Linked DNA regions of Saccharomyces cerevisiae S288C. Changing the gene in region 3 together with the main gene of any one other region gives a genetic interaction. Each region holds a gene or a part of one and is shown on either strand. Other genes may lie near its edges. The genes, in order: NUC1, REX3 and REX2.

Region 1 (3,518 bases), on a different chromosome or scaffold from region 3:
AATGCCAAGAAGGATATCGATTTGGCAAAACTACTTTATATAAATGCTGCAAAGAGAAGTAAAACATACTGGACAAAATCGAACTGTAACCCATTCATTGCATCCTCCCCATGTGATGTCAAATTAAAAGTGAATAATCAAAACAGGTTTACTATTTTAAGGAATATTGCATTAAGCGCACTGCAGATAGGAAGAACAGACATTTTTCTTTGGGCGTGCGCAGAACTATACCAGAACGGTATGACGATTGAGGAATTGAAGTTAGACTGGAATTTCATCTTAAAACATCAAATTAGAAATTCAGAGTTCAAAACAAACAAGGAGATCATACAAGATATTAAAAAGCATGGTGTGTCGGCTGTCAAACGTTACTTAAGATGAACGGCCAAACGCACATTTACGATATAAATAACAAAGCAAATAATAACAAAACAAATTTCTGTAAATATATACTAAATCCAAGCATTGCATCCTAATTCTTTTCTTTTTTTGATCATCAAATAAATGTATTATTTTATGTTATATGCGTTAGACTTGTTATATTCTTTCATGCTATTCTATCGTTGTGTTATGAATTAATTTATATTTACAGTTTTTCAGTACATTCAATTCCTTTTTTTTGGAGGAGGTAACAATTTCACATCTTTCGATTGTTTGATCGCCGCGTTAGAGAAATCTCTCACTACAATTTGACAATTTACCTCTTTGCATAATGCCTTCTTCTTTGAAGGTGGTACTTTTTGCAGAAGTTCTAGCCCAGTACTTCTCTCTAAAGCATCTATAGGAACTTCAAAGTCAGTCAATTTCGTCTCATTTGATATCGGTTCGTTTGGCAATACAAATGCCGCGACAGCAATATCCTCTCTAGCAGGATTGGCTGTTGGTGCTTCTGCAACAATCAATTTAAAAAAGTGCGTTGGAACAGCAATACTGGGTGGATTGCCAATAACTTCATAATTAACCCTAAATTTATTATCTATGGGATCCTTTTTGGGTAGATACAATGGACCAGTCACGATTCTTACACTCTTATATTTCTTAGTCAATCCCCTACAAAAGTACTCCAAATGCGCCCAATAGTCTCTATTAAAACCTTCTCCTACTTGAGGACACATATTGGATAAGTAGAATGTATCATCCATGGCCTGTTGAGAAAATTTTGCGTCTGCAGCTGGGGCTTGATGGCCTCGATCATAGCCCGACCTAAAATAGTCTCTTAGTTTACCTCTAAACTTTTCTGGAATTACTTCATCTTCCTTGAAAAAGGAATTTTTTCTGTCAGCATTCCTTGCAGCCAATGATTCTGGCGTTATATGTTCGAGGACCCAATAAGGATTTTGAGTTTGTCTGTTGTAACATGAGATAAACTCTTCGCGGTTCTGCAGATCATGAATCGGACCAGGAAAACCATACTTGAAGAACCCGGAAGGATCGACGTTGAAAGAGTGAGATTGAATATTACTATTAGGTTTCTGGGTAGGTGGATAAGGTGTCTCAATGATTTGCGTTGGAGAATGTTTGTTCAAAAGAAGATAGGTTAAGCCAGTACCAGCACCCAGTCCGACTAAACCGGACAAGAGTATCCTACTGCACATGATAACTTTAACTTTGGGATCTAATAAGTGGGGAACTTAACTAAATGTTCTTATCTTTATACAATTGTAACTCTATAAAAACTAACAAATTACTTGATGAGTGACCAATAACCAATTGCACCATTGATATTTTTTCACAGATTTTATTTTTTTTTTCTTTTTTCGCGATGAGTTTTATTTCCGTGCATATGCATCCGACTTGCAATTAGTCGAAAGATTTCAGTTGAAAGGCCTCTTCGACAGAGCCCAAAGACTGCGATTTAACGTATGCCTCCATCACGGAACCTATAATTGCTTTTTGTTGAGGACTTATAGTGCTAGAAATGGCTTCTTTAAATGAATTTTTGTCCAATTTAGCCAAAGCAACTATGCCACTTGCTACTTCGTTGTCTATTTTCTCTGTATATGCGCTATGATATGCGGCAAAGAAAGAAAGACATAAAGCAATTGACAATGATGCCTTTTGGTGATCTTGTTTGATTACTTCCTCGGAAAACTGAATTATCAACTTAGTTTTAATGCTTGCCTGCGATAAGGAATCGTTTGTTTGAATATCTTGAAAGAATCTTTTTATAACCAACTTCATAAAATACTGCAACAACGGGTATTTGAAAATATTAGATATTATTCTCTTGAAGCCTTGTAGAGCAATTGGCTGCGTAGCAGGATTATTCAATGCCTCCGAGAGAATATTTGCGCACTGATTCAGTTCCTGAAAACTTAGCTTAGAGTATCCATTAGACAGCAAGATCAAAATGGTTGCAACTTTATTCTTTGAATCCAGCTTATGATAAATAACATCTTTTATTGACCCGTAGAATATTTCTAGTAACACAATATTTTTTTCGTCCTCAGATTCCGTAAGCGCTTTTACTAGTGCCTTGAAAAGTGGGAGTATGATTGGAATTATTACTTCACGATGACTACATTCATAAATTTTCCCTATGATGAATAAAAGACATGAATAAAGATCTACTTTGAACATATTGTCGAAGTTACTGATATTTGATTCGAACGCAATAAATGTTTTTTTCAACAGACTAATATCTGTGGGAGAGATTTTTATTTCATTATCATCTTCTTCGCTGGTAAGCACGTTATACTTAATAAATGGCAACCTCTCAGAAATAATTGTCATCAGTAGTCGCAGTAGCTCATATAGTTTGTCAATATCTTGTAGAAATGTTTCAGGAGTAGCATTACACTTCGAATACCCAATGATCAAGTCACTGATGATATCAACAAGCAAAAATTCTTCTTTACTGTCGCCTGTAGAAATCAGTCTGTCCATAATCTCAACAACTTCAGTAATAATATCATCCTCAAATATACTTTTTATGCACAGATTGCTCTTCAAAACATTGTGTAAAGCCGGTAAAACTTGCATCTTGACTGAATGATCATCAATATTTTTGACGATAGCCTCCAAACATTGGCTAAATAAAATAAAAAGAAAATACTCTAATTCCTCATCGTTAAGAGATGCCAAAATGACTTGAACGTCTGAATCCAGAGTGCACCCAAGGGCCTCTACGAAATTTAACCAGACCGGTTCATATAACTCAATTTTCGTACTTCTTGGTTCAATGAGACTATTTTCTTTCGAGTCATTCTTTACTTGCACAGTAGAATCATTATCGTTATACTTTATCATCATGTATTCACGTAAAGAAATGATCCATAATGGGACTAAAATGCTCCAATATTTCCTGGTAAAAGAGAAAAGCGCATCATTTGACGACGTGATGGATCTTTGCACTACCTCAGCCCACGCATCCAAAACGGCAAGTTCAATTTTTCTTTTCGCTTTGGGTGTAACGATTATAGCTTCCCCTATCCGTATACCGGAATTAGGATCTTTAAAGTTACCAAGAAGGTCAATTAGTAATTGTGAAATTCTTCCCAATTTATCTGGTGGCATTA
Region 2 (3,759 bases), 100 kb from region 3:
TAATATTATTGCGTTTACGAACAATGGAATCCCAACAATTATCAAGTTATTCCCCCAATTCTCAGACAGTCATGGTAGCAATATAAATTCTGAAATTATATTGTGTACAAATATACGTATAGCATTTATTAGTGCTGGAGATTATAAATAACAGAACTATTATGGAGAATTATCGATCATACTTTACCGTTTAGATGTTTTATGTTGTCTTTTAATGCCGCATGCAATACTTTTTTAGATTAAACTTAAAATTAACTTGTTCTGGTAATTACTGACGGATAACAGGTACTTCTTTAAATAGGATTATGGTGCTTCAGCTATCATCAAGTTTGGTACATCCTGAACCCAATTTCACGATATTTTAATATTCAGATATTGAAAAGGTGCATTATTATTGTTCGCTTAAATACAGAAAATAGGAAAGCAATACGAAATCATTACTTTTATCATGTTGTTTCTTAACGTAATTACTTAATAAAACTCATGTGAACCGTATGAAATGTAATAACTATATATGTCTGCTCAACTTTGAATATGATCACATTATTTTTCCCACTTGTTTTGACTTGGAGAAATACCTATTTTGACTTTAACAACGTCCATCGTTGCTATTGCATCTTGAGAACTATCATGCTCGCCATTTTGGATTTTTCTACTCAAAACTTCAAACGCTAAGTTCTTCAAAGAAACCTTAAACTTTGTTCTTGAATAAAGTATTGCAGTATCTATAACCTTATTATGAAATAGCCTCATGACGTTCAGATCGTTCTCTAGTCCGTGCCCTATAAGAATACTATTTTTATTTATTAAGTTTTCGGATAAAAAAACATCAAGTGCCTCCTTGTACGTCGGGCAATTGGTTCGGTCAATCTCATGGACACCACTGAAGTCTGAATTCAGATCGACAATATCCCCTATTGGCTGAATTACATGATCAAATAGTGTCTTGCCGGTGAAAAAATCCACAATTGTTAAACGTATCATCTCATAGCCCAATGATGTAAAAGCCATTTCACAGTCAAGAGAAAGAACATTCTCAACACCATCAATGTCATCTGTACTAGAAAACTTCGAAATTTTGCATAACTCGTCATATGATTCTCCTCTAAACACATGGTGAAAAAACGTCTTGCATCCTAGCCTTAGAAAAGAAACGGAATCAGTAGTTTCACCACAGCATGGATACTGATGGTTCTTGGTATCTCTGTTGTATATTCTTTTCAAAGGGTGATACCTACATAGAGTCTTTTCCATGATGTCTGTTTTTTTGAAATTTGAGCTGCAACGCAAACAAGGTGCATACAGTTGCGTACTATTGTCATCATTAGTTTTATTTTGCATTTCCTTAACAATATACCCATTTTTCTCTAAGACCTTCGAATCCAAAATCAGAGCCTTTAAAGCTTCCATCGCTTTTGATTTTGTAGTGATAGAGTTTGCATTACCAATTGAGGATAAATGAGGCTTAGCTCCTTTAAGGGGGCGCCCATTAATTTTGATCTTCGAGAGATCTCCTTTATATTTAAGCACATCCCGCAGTAAAATGCTCATGTTAAACTTGTAACTCTGACCAGACAAGCTGTTTTTAGCAACATGGACTTCTAAGCGAGTGGCAAGTCTTTCAAGGTCAATATTAGTTCCTTTTGTGTGTGCATATGCCTTTTGTAGCTGCTTGAATAATTTCTGCAAAATTTTATATCTTTCTTGGAATCCAAGCGGTTGATTTACCAGATCAACCGGTCTCAACAAACTTCCCATACTAAAGCTTTCTCTTGATATATAGTCAAACTGAATGTATACTGAAACACATATTCAAGGCATTGATTTTAAATGCACTTGAACCGTTATTCCATTTCTTTTTCTACTCATCATTTATTGTCGCCCTTTACGAGGTATTTTTTCTTTTTCGAGTGAAAAATTTTAAAGAAGCGATGAGCTAAGGTCTATTTAGCTTTATGAAAAGAAAACATTATATCACTTACTGCTTTACTTTAGACATTCCTCTCCAAAGTGATTATTTTAAAGATTCAAAGTACCTCTGAGTTAATTTGACATCGAATTCTACTCTTATTATTTTAAGGTACCTCTACTTTACGCGGTCACATTATTTTTAAAACCGTTATAATCTGCTGAGAATGTCCCAGGATAGAATTTTGTTAGATTTAGACGTAGTTAACCAAAGGTTAATTCTCTTCAATTCTGCTTTTCCCTCTGATGCTATTGAAGCGCCCTTCCACTTTAGCAACAAGGAATCAACTTCTGAGAATTTAGACAATTTAGCAGGAACTATACTACATAGCCGTTCCATCACTGGTCATGTTTTCCTTTACAAACATATTTTTTTAGAGATAGTGGCACGTTGGATAAAGGACTCCAAAAAAAAAGATTACGTTCTTGTAATTGAAAAGTTGGCAAGTATAATTACAATATTTCCCGTTGCAATGCCATTAATTGAAGACTATTTAGATAAAGAGAATGATCATTTCATCACTATTCTTCAAAATCCATCCACACAAAAGGATTCCGACATGTTTAAAATACTATTAGCATACTATAGGTTACTATATCACAATAAAGAAGTATTTGCACGCTTCATTCAACCCGACATTTTATACCAACTTGTGGATTTACTCACCAAAGAACAAGAAAATCAGGTTGTTATATTTCTAGCATTAAAGGTTTTATCTTTATACTTAGACATGGGAGAAAAAACATTAAACGATATGCTCGACACTTATATAAAATCACGCGATTCATTGTTGGGCCATTTTGAGGGCGATTCTGGAATTGATTACAGCTTCCTCGAACTGAACGAAGCTAAGAGATGTGCAAATTTCTCTAAACTACCCAGTGTTCCAGAATGTTTCACTATAGAAAAAAAATCTAGCTACTTCATTATTGAGCCTCAGGATTTGAGTACTAAGGTCGCGTCAATCTGTGGCGTTATCGTCCCTAAGGTCCACACTATCCACGACAAAGTATTCTACCCATTAACCTTTGTCCCTACTCATAAAACGGTTTCCTCTCTTCGTCAACTCGGGAGAAAGATTCAAAATTCAACTCCAATAATGCTCATTGGAAAAGCGGGATCCGGTAAAACCTTTTTAATCAATGAGCTAAGTAAATATATGGGTTGCCATGACTCCATTGTGAAAATTCATTTAGGTGAACAAACTGATGCCAAGTTACTGATTGGTACTTATACCTCTGGTGACAAGCCAGGCACGTTTGAATGGAGAGCTGGTGTTCTCGCTACCGCGGTCAAAGAAGGGAGATGGGTACTTATAGAAGACATAGATAAAGCTCCTACAGATGTTTTATCAATACTTTTATCGCTTTTAGAAAAGCGCGAACTAACCATTCCATCCAGAGGAGAGACTGTAAAGGCTGCAAATGGTTTCCAGTTAATATCAACTGTTAGAATAAACGAAGATCATCAGAAGGATAGTTCCAATAAGATCTATAACTTGAATATGATTGGTATGAGAATCTGGAATGTTATTGAATTAGAGGAACCTAGCGAAGAGGATTTGACACACATTTTAGCCCAAAAGTTTCCCATTTTGACCAACCTTATCCCCAAACTAATCGATTCATACAAAAACGTCAAAAGTATTTATATGAACACCAAGTTCATTTCATTGAACAAGGGGGCACACACAAGAGTTGTATCTGTAAGAGATTTAATTAAGCTGTGCGAAAGGTTAGACATCCTATTCAAAAACAATGGCATCAACAAACCTGACCAACTAATCCAGT
Region 3 (3,469 bases):
GATCTGAACATGACCTTGGCACCTCTACCTGGGAAGTAGGTTTTCACAGAATCGTCTTCTTCAATCCAGTAACCTCTGCCAGAAGCAGCAGCACCGTAGTCTGCAATCCACTCTGTTCTAAAAGTTTGCATGATTTTACCCAATAACCCTTGAATGATTTCAAACCCAGAATTCTTACCCACGTAGATGGCAGCCCAGTGACGTTCATTGTACGCCTTCCTTTCTAGTTTGTCGTCTTTAAATACAACGTCACCGGTTTCAAAGACTTTGATTGGCAAGGAATGTTTTCTGTTTTCCTTGACTGTCTTTAAGATACCAGGCAATAAAGTGGTTCTAACAACTTGGTATTCCAAAGTCTTTGGGTTGGCCAATTTGACAGCTAAATCACCATTGTCGGATTGTCTTAGAAATTTAAAGTTTTCATCGTGCGAACATAAGGTCAATGGTAAAACCTCAACCCACGTGGCTTGAGAGGATGCAACTCTGAAAATATCAGAAACCTTGTTGATTGGTAATGGTTTGGCAATGAAGTTGGCATTGGATAATTTCTCACCCTTTGGCAAATTATTGAAACCATAACCGACAGCGGCATCTTCCATTATATCACAAGCGTGCAAAATATCAGGTCTAGTTACCGGAATGTCAACGTGCAAGATGTCCTTGTCTTCCTTTGATTGAACGGCATGCAACGACATCTTCTTTAGACAATGAGCAATTTCATCAGCGGATTGATCTAGGCCAAGACAGGAGTTGATGTACTTAATGGAGACATCCATAATTCTATCGTTGAAGTTTGGCGCCAAACGGGATTGGCCATTGTGTTCAGAGACAATTTCTACAGGCTCAACCGTGAATGGTTCGTCACAATAACGTGAGAACATTGTAGTTAATATGTTCAAAACGATCTCGGCTTTGGTCTTATCGGTGGCGGTTATATCAATCAAAATGTTACGGGTGTTCACAGAGATCTTCGAATGTTCACTATTGATTAATGGTGGCAGGGAGCAAACACGATCTTTGCTGTCCATAATAACTGGGAAGACTGGAGAATCCTCAATAATGTGAACGTATCTCCCTATGTTGTTTTTCTGTTCTGGAGATTTATAAAACTCGATCAATTTGTCACCAGTAAACTCTTGGGTTTGATTCAATGGTACGAACTTGATGTCCTTTGGTGGTAGAGCTCTGTAATGGAATGGACCTTCAATTGAATCTAAATCGTGAGTACCCATGGCAACCAAGCTTCTGTTTCTACATAGATTGGCATGTAATTTATCTTGCAAGGCAATAAAAGAAGCGTAAGATTTTTCGTTAAGCTTGATATTTCTCAATACAGCAGCGGTAGCAAAAGGTCTAATTTGCTCCGTTGATTTGTCGATGATCAACTTAGTGGTTGGCTTGCTTAATTTATAGTCAGGTCTTTCTTTACGTTCCAAGTATTCGTTCAGCGACTGTGAAATACCTTCGATACAAAGCAAATCGTAACGATTGGCACTGATATCAAGCTTCAATTCCGGCTCCTCCCCGGTTTTCAAGGCCTCCTCTGTGGTGTCTTCGTCCATTTCCATACCGAATTCAAAACATAATTCATCGAACTCTTGGGAAGTGTAGTTTTTGCCTAGAAGATCAAATAATTGCTGCTTGTTCACGGAGACGGTAGGCATGCTGGCTCGGTGTTATTGATGTGTGTTATGCTATTCTGCCCTATTTTTTGAACATTTGATCAACTCCAGGCTTTCGAGAAATACATTGAAAATTTTTCATTTCCTTCAATTTTCTTTCTTTTTTGGTACCGATTCTGAATAATCGGTCACCTCGTGTGTCGTGATAAATAATCAAGAAGATGTACTTTTATACAAGGGTTGTAGTCATCTGGGACACTCTCAGAGCACTGGCTCTGACGACAACCATCAAACGCATGCTCATACGTATAATTCAAGCCTTACATACACTGGTATTCCCTTTGGGGTGTTTCTTTTTCCTGTCAAGTTGGGCACTTAAAAGAACTAATAAAAAATCAGTGTGAACTTTTCGATTTGCAAAGAAAATGAAAAAAAAGAAAAGGAGCTTTCACAAATAAACAGAAGAGATCAAGATGAAGTGGTTGTTGTTTCCGGCAAGAATCGTAGCTCGCACTCGCCCAAACCTCTTCTCGCTGTACAGAAGATCCGTTTCACAGTACTTACGTCCTCGAACCATCCAAAACCTGCAATCAATGGCGCAAACACCCGAACTTAAAACCAAGCTGTTCAAACCCTTGGTCTGGATCGACTGCGAGATGACCGGTTTAGACCACGTGAATGACAGAATTATCGAGATTTGCTGCATCATCACCGATGGACACCTGGCACCCGTCAAAGCGGCCGATGGCCAAGGAGACTCGCATTATGAGAGCGTCATCCATTATGGTCCCGAGGTGATGAACAAAATGAACGAGTGGTGTATTGAGCACCACGGTAATAGCGGTCTCACCGCCAAAGTTTTGGCAAGTGAGAAGACTTTGGCCCAGGTAGAAGATGAGCTGCTCGAGTACATCCAGCGCTACATCCCAGACAAGAACGTTGGCGTCTTGGCAGGCAATAGTGTACATATGGACCGCTTGTTCATGGTCCGCGAGTTTCCCAAGGTCATTGATCATCTCTTTTACAGAATAGTTGACGTCAGTAGCATCATGGAAGTTGCCCGCAGACACAATCCCGCTTTACAAGCACGTAATCCAAAAAAAGAAGCTGCCCACACTGCTTATAGTGATATCAAAGAGAGCATAGCTCAATTGCAATGGTACATGGACAACTACTTGAAGCCACCACAGGAAACAGAGTCGGTCGAGTCAATCGGATCTGAACAGCCGGAGTCACCATCTTCATCTACCTCATCTTTGAAAAGACAACGCACCGATTTTTAATGTAGAAAAAAAAAAAGAAAAAAGAAGTGAAATTTTTCAAATATTTCACACACGAAACATGACTCCTGGTGAGAAATGACCCTTTCAGGTTGCTTTGACCATAAAGGTTTGACTCTATCTCTTGGGTTTCTCATGTTCGCTTTTTACTCTGTATAATTTTTAAATTCATAATCATCTTAGACCGAACCATGAGTCTTCTTCATCTTGTTTTATATATAATGCAGAACTTGCTTCCCTTAGTTTGCGTTCAGTAATCTTTCCTTCTTCTAGTGTAACCTTTACGAAAGATACTACCCCATAGCAAAGCATAACAGCTTAAACCGAATCCTCCTTAACATGCCTTACACTCTATCCGACGCTCATCATAAGTTGATCACCTCTCATTTGGTGGACACCGACCCTGAAGTGGACTCCATTATCAAGGATGAAATTGAAAGACAAAAGCACTCCATCGATTTGATTGCTTCTGAAAATTTCACCTCAACCTCCGTTTTCGATGCCCTTGGAACTCCATTGTCCAACAAATACTCTGAAGGTTATCCAGGTGCTCGTTACTACGGTGGT

Evidence for each region.
Region 1: mutations in REX2 (region 3) and NUC1 together harm fitness more than expected from each alone (negative genetic interaction), as found in Saccharomyces cerevisiae (2 studies listed by BioGRID).
Region 2: of REX2 (region 3) and REX3, changing one enhances a phenotype caused by changing the other (phenotypic enhancement), as found in Saccharomyces cerevisiae (2 studies listed by BioGRID).

What each region holds. Positions count from the first base shown.
Region 1 is NC_001142.9:39,589-43,106, forward strand, and holds NUC1 (ribonuclease), read right to left. Parts: upstream 1,596-3,518; coding exon 606-1,595; downstream 1-605. Other genes in the region: CBP1 (Cbp1p), read left to right, coding at 1-381; AP-1 complex accessory protein LAA1, read right to left, coding at 1,801-3,518. UniProt on the Saccharomyces cerevisiae protein: This enzyme has both RNase and DNase activity.
Region 2 is NC_001144.5:362,115-365,873, reverse strand, and holds REX3 (RNA exonuclease), read right to left. Parts: upstream 1,759-3,759; coding exon 544-1,758; downstream 1-543. Other genes in the region: REA1 (AAA family ATPase midasin), read left to right, coding at 2,136-3,759. UniProt on the Saccharomyces cerevisiae protein: 3' to 5' exoribonuclease required for proper 3' end maturation of MRP RNA and of the U5L snRNA.
Region 3 is NC_001144.5:259,174-262,642, reverse strand, and holds REX2 (Rex2p), read left to right. Parts: upstream 1-2,095; coding exon 2,096-2,905; downstream 2,906-3,469. Other genes in the region: FRS1 (phenylalanine--tRNA ligase subunit beta), read right to left, coding at 1-1,664; glycine hydroxymethyltransferase SHM2, read left to right, coding at 3,242-3,469. UniProt on the Saccharomyces cerevisiae protein: 3'-to-5' exoribonuclease specific for small oligoribonucleotides.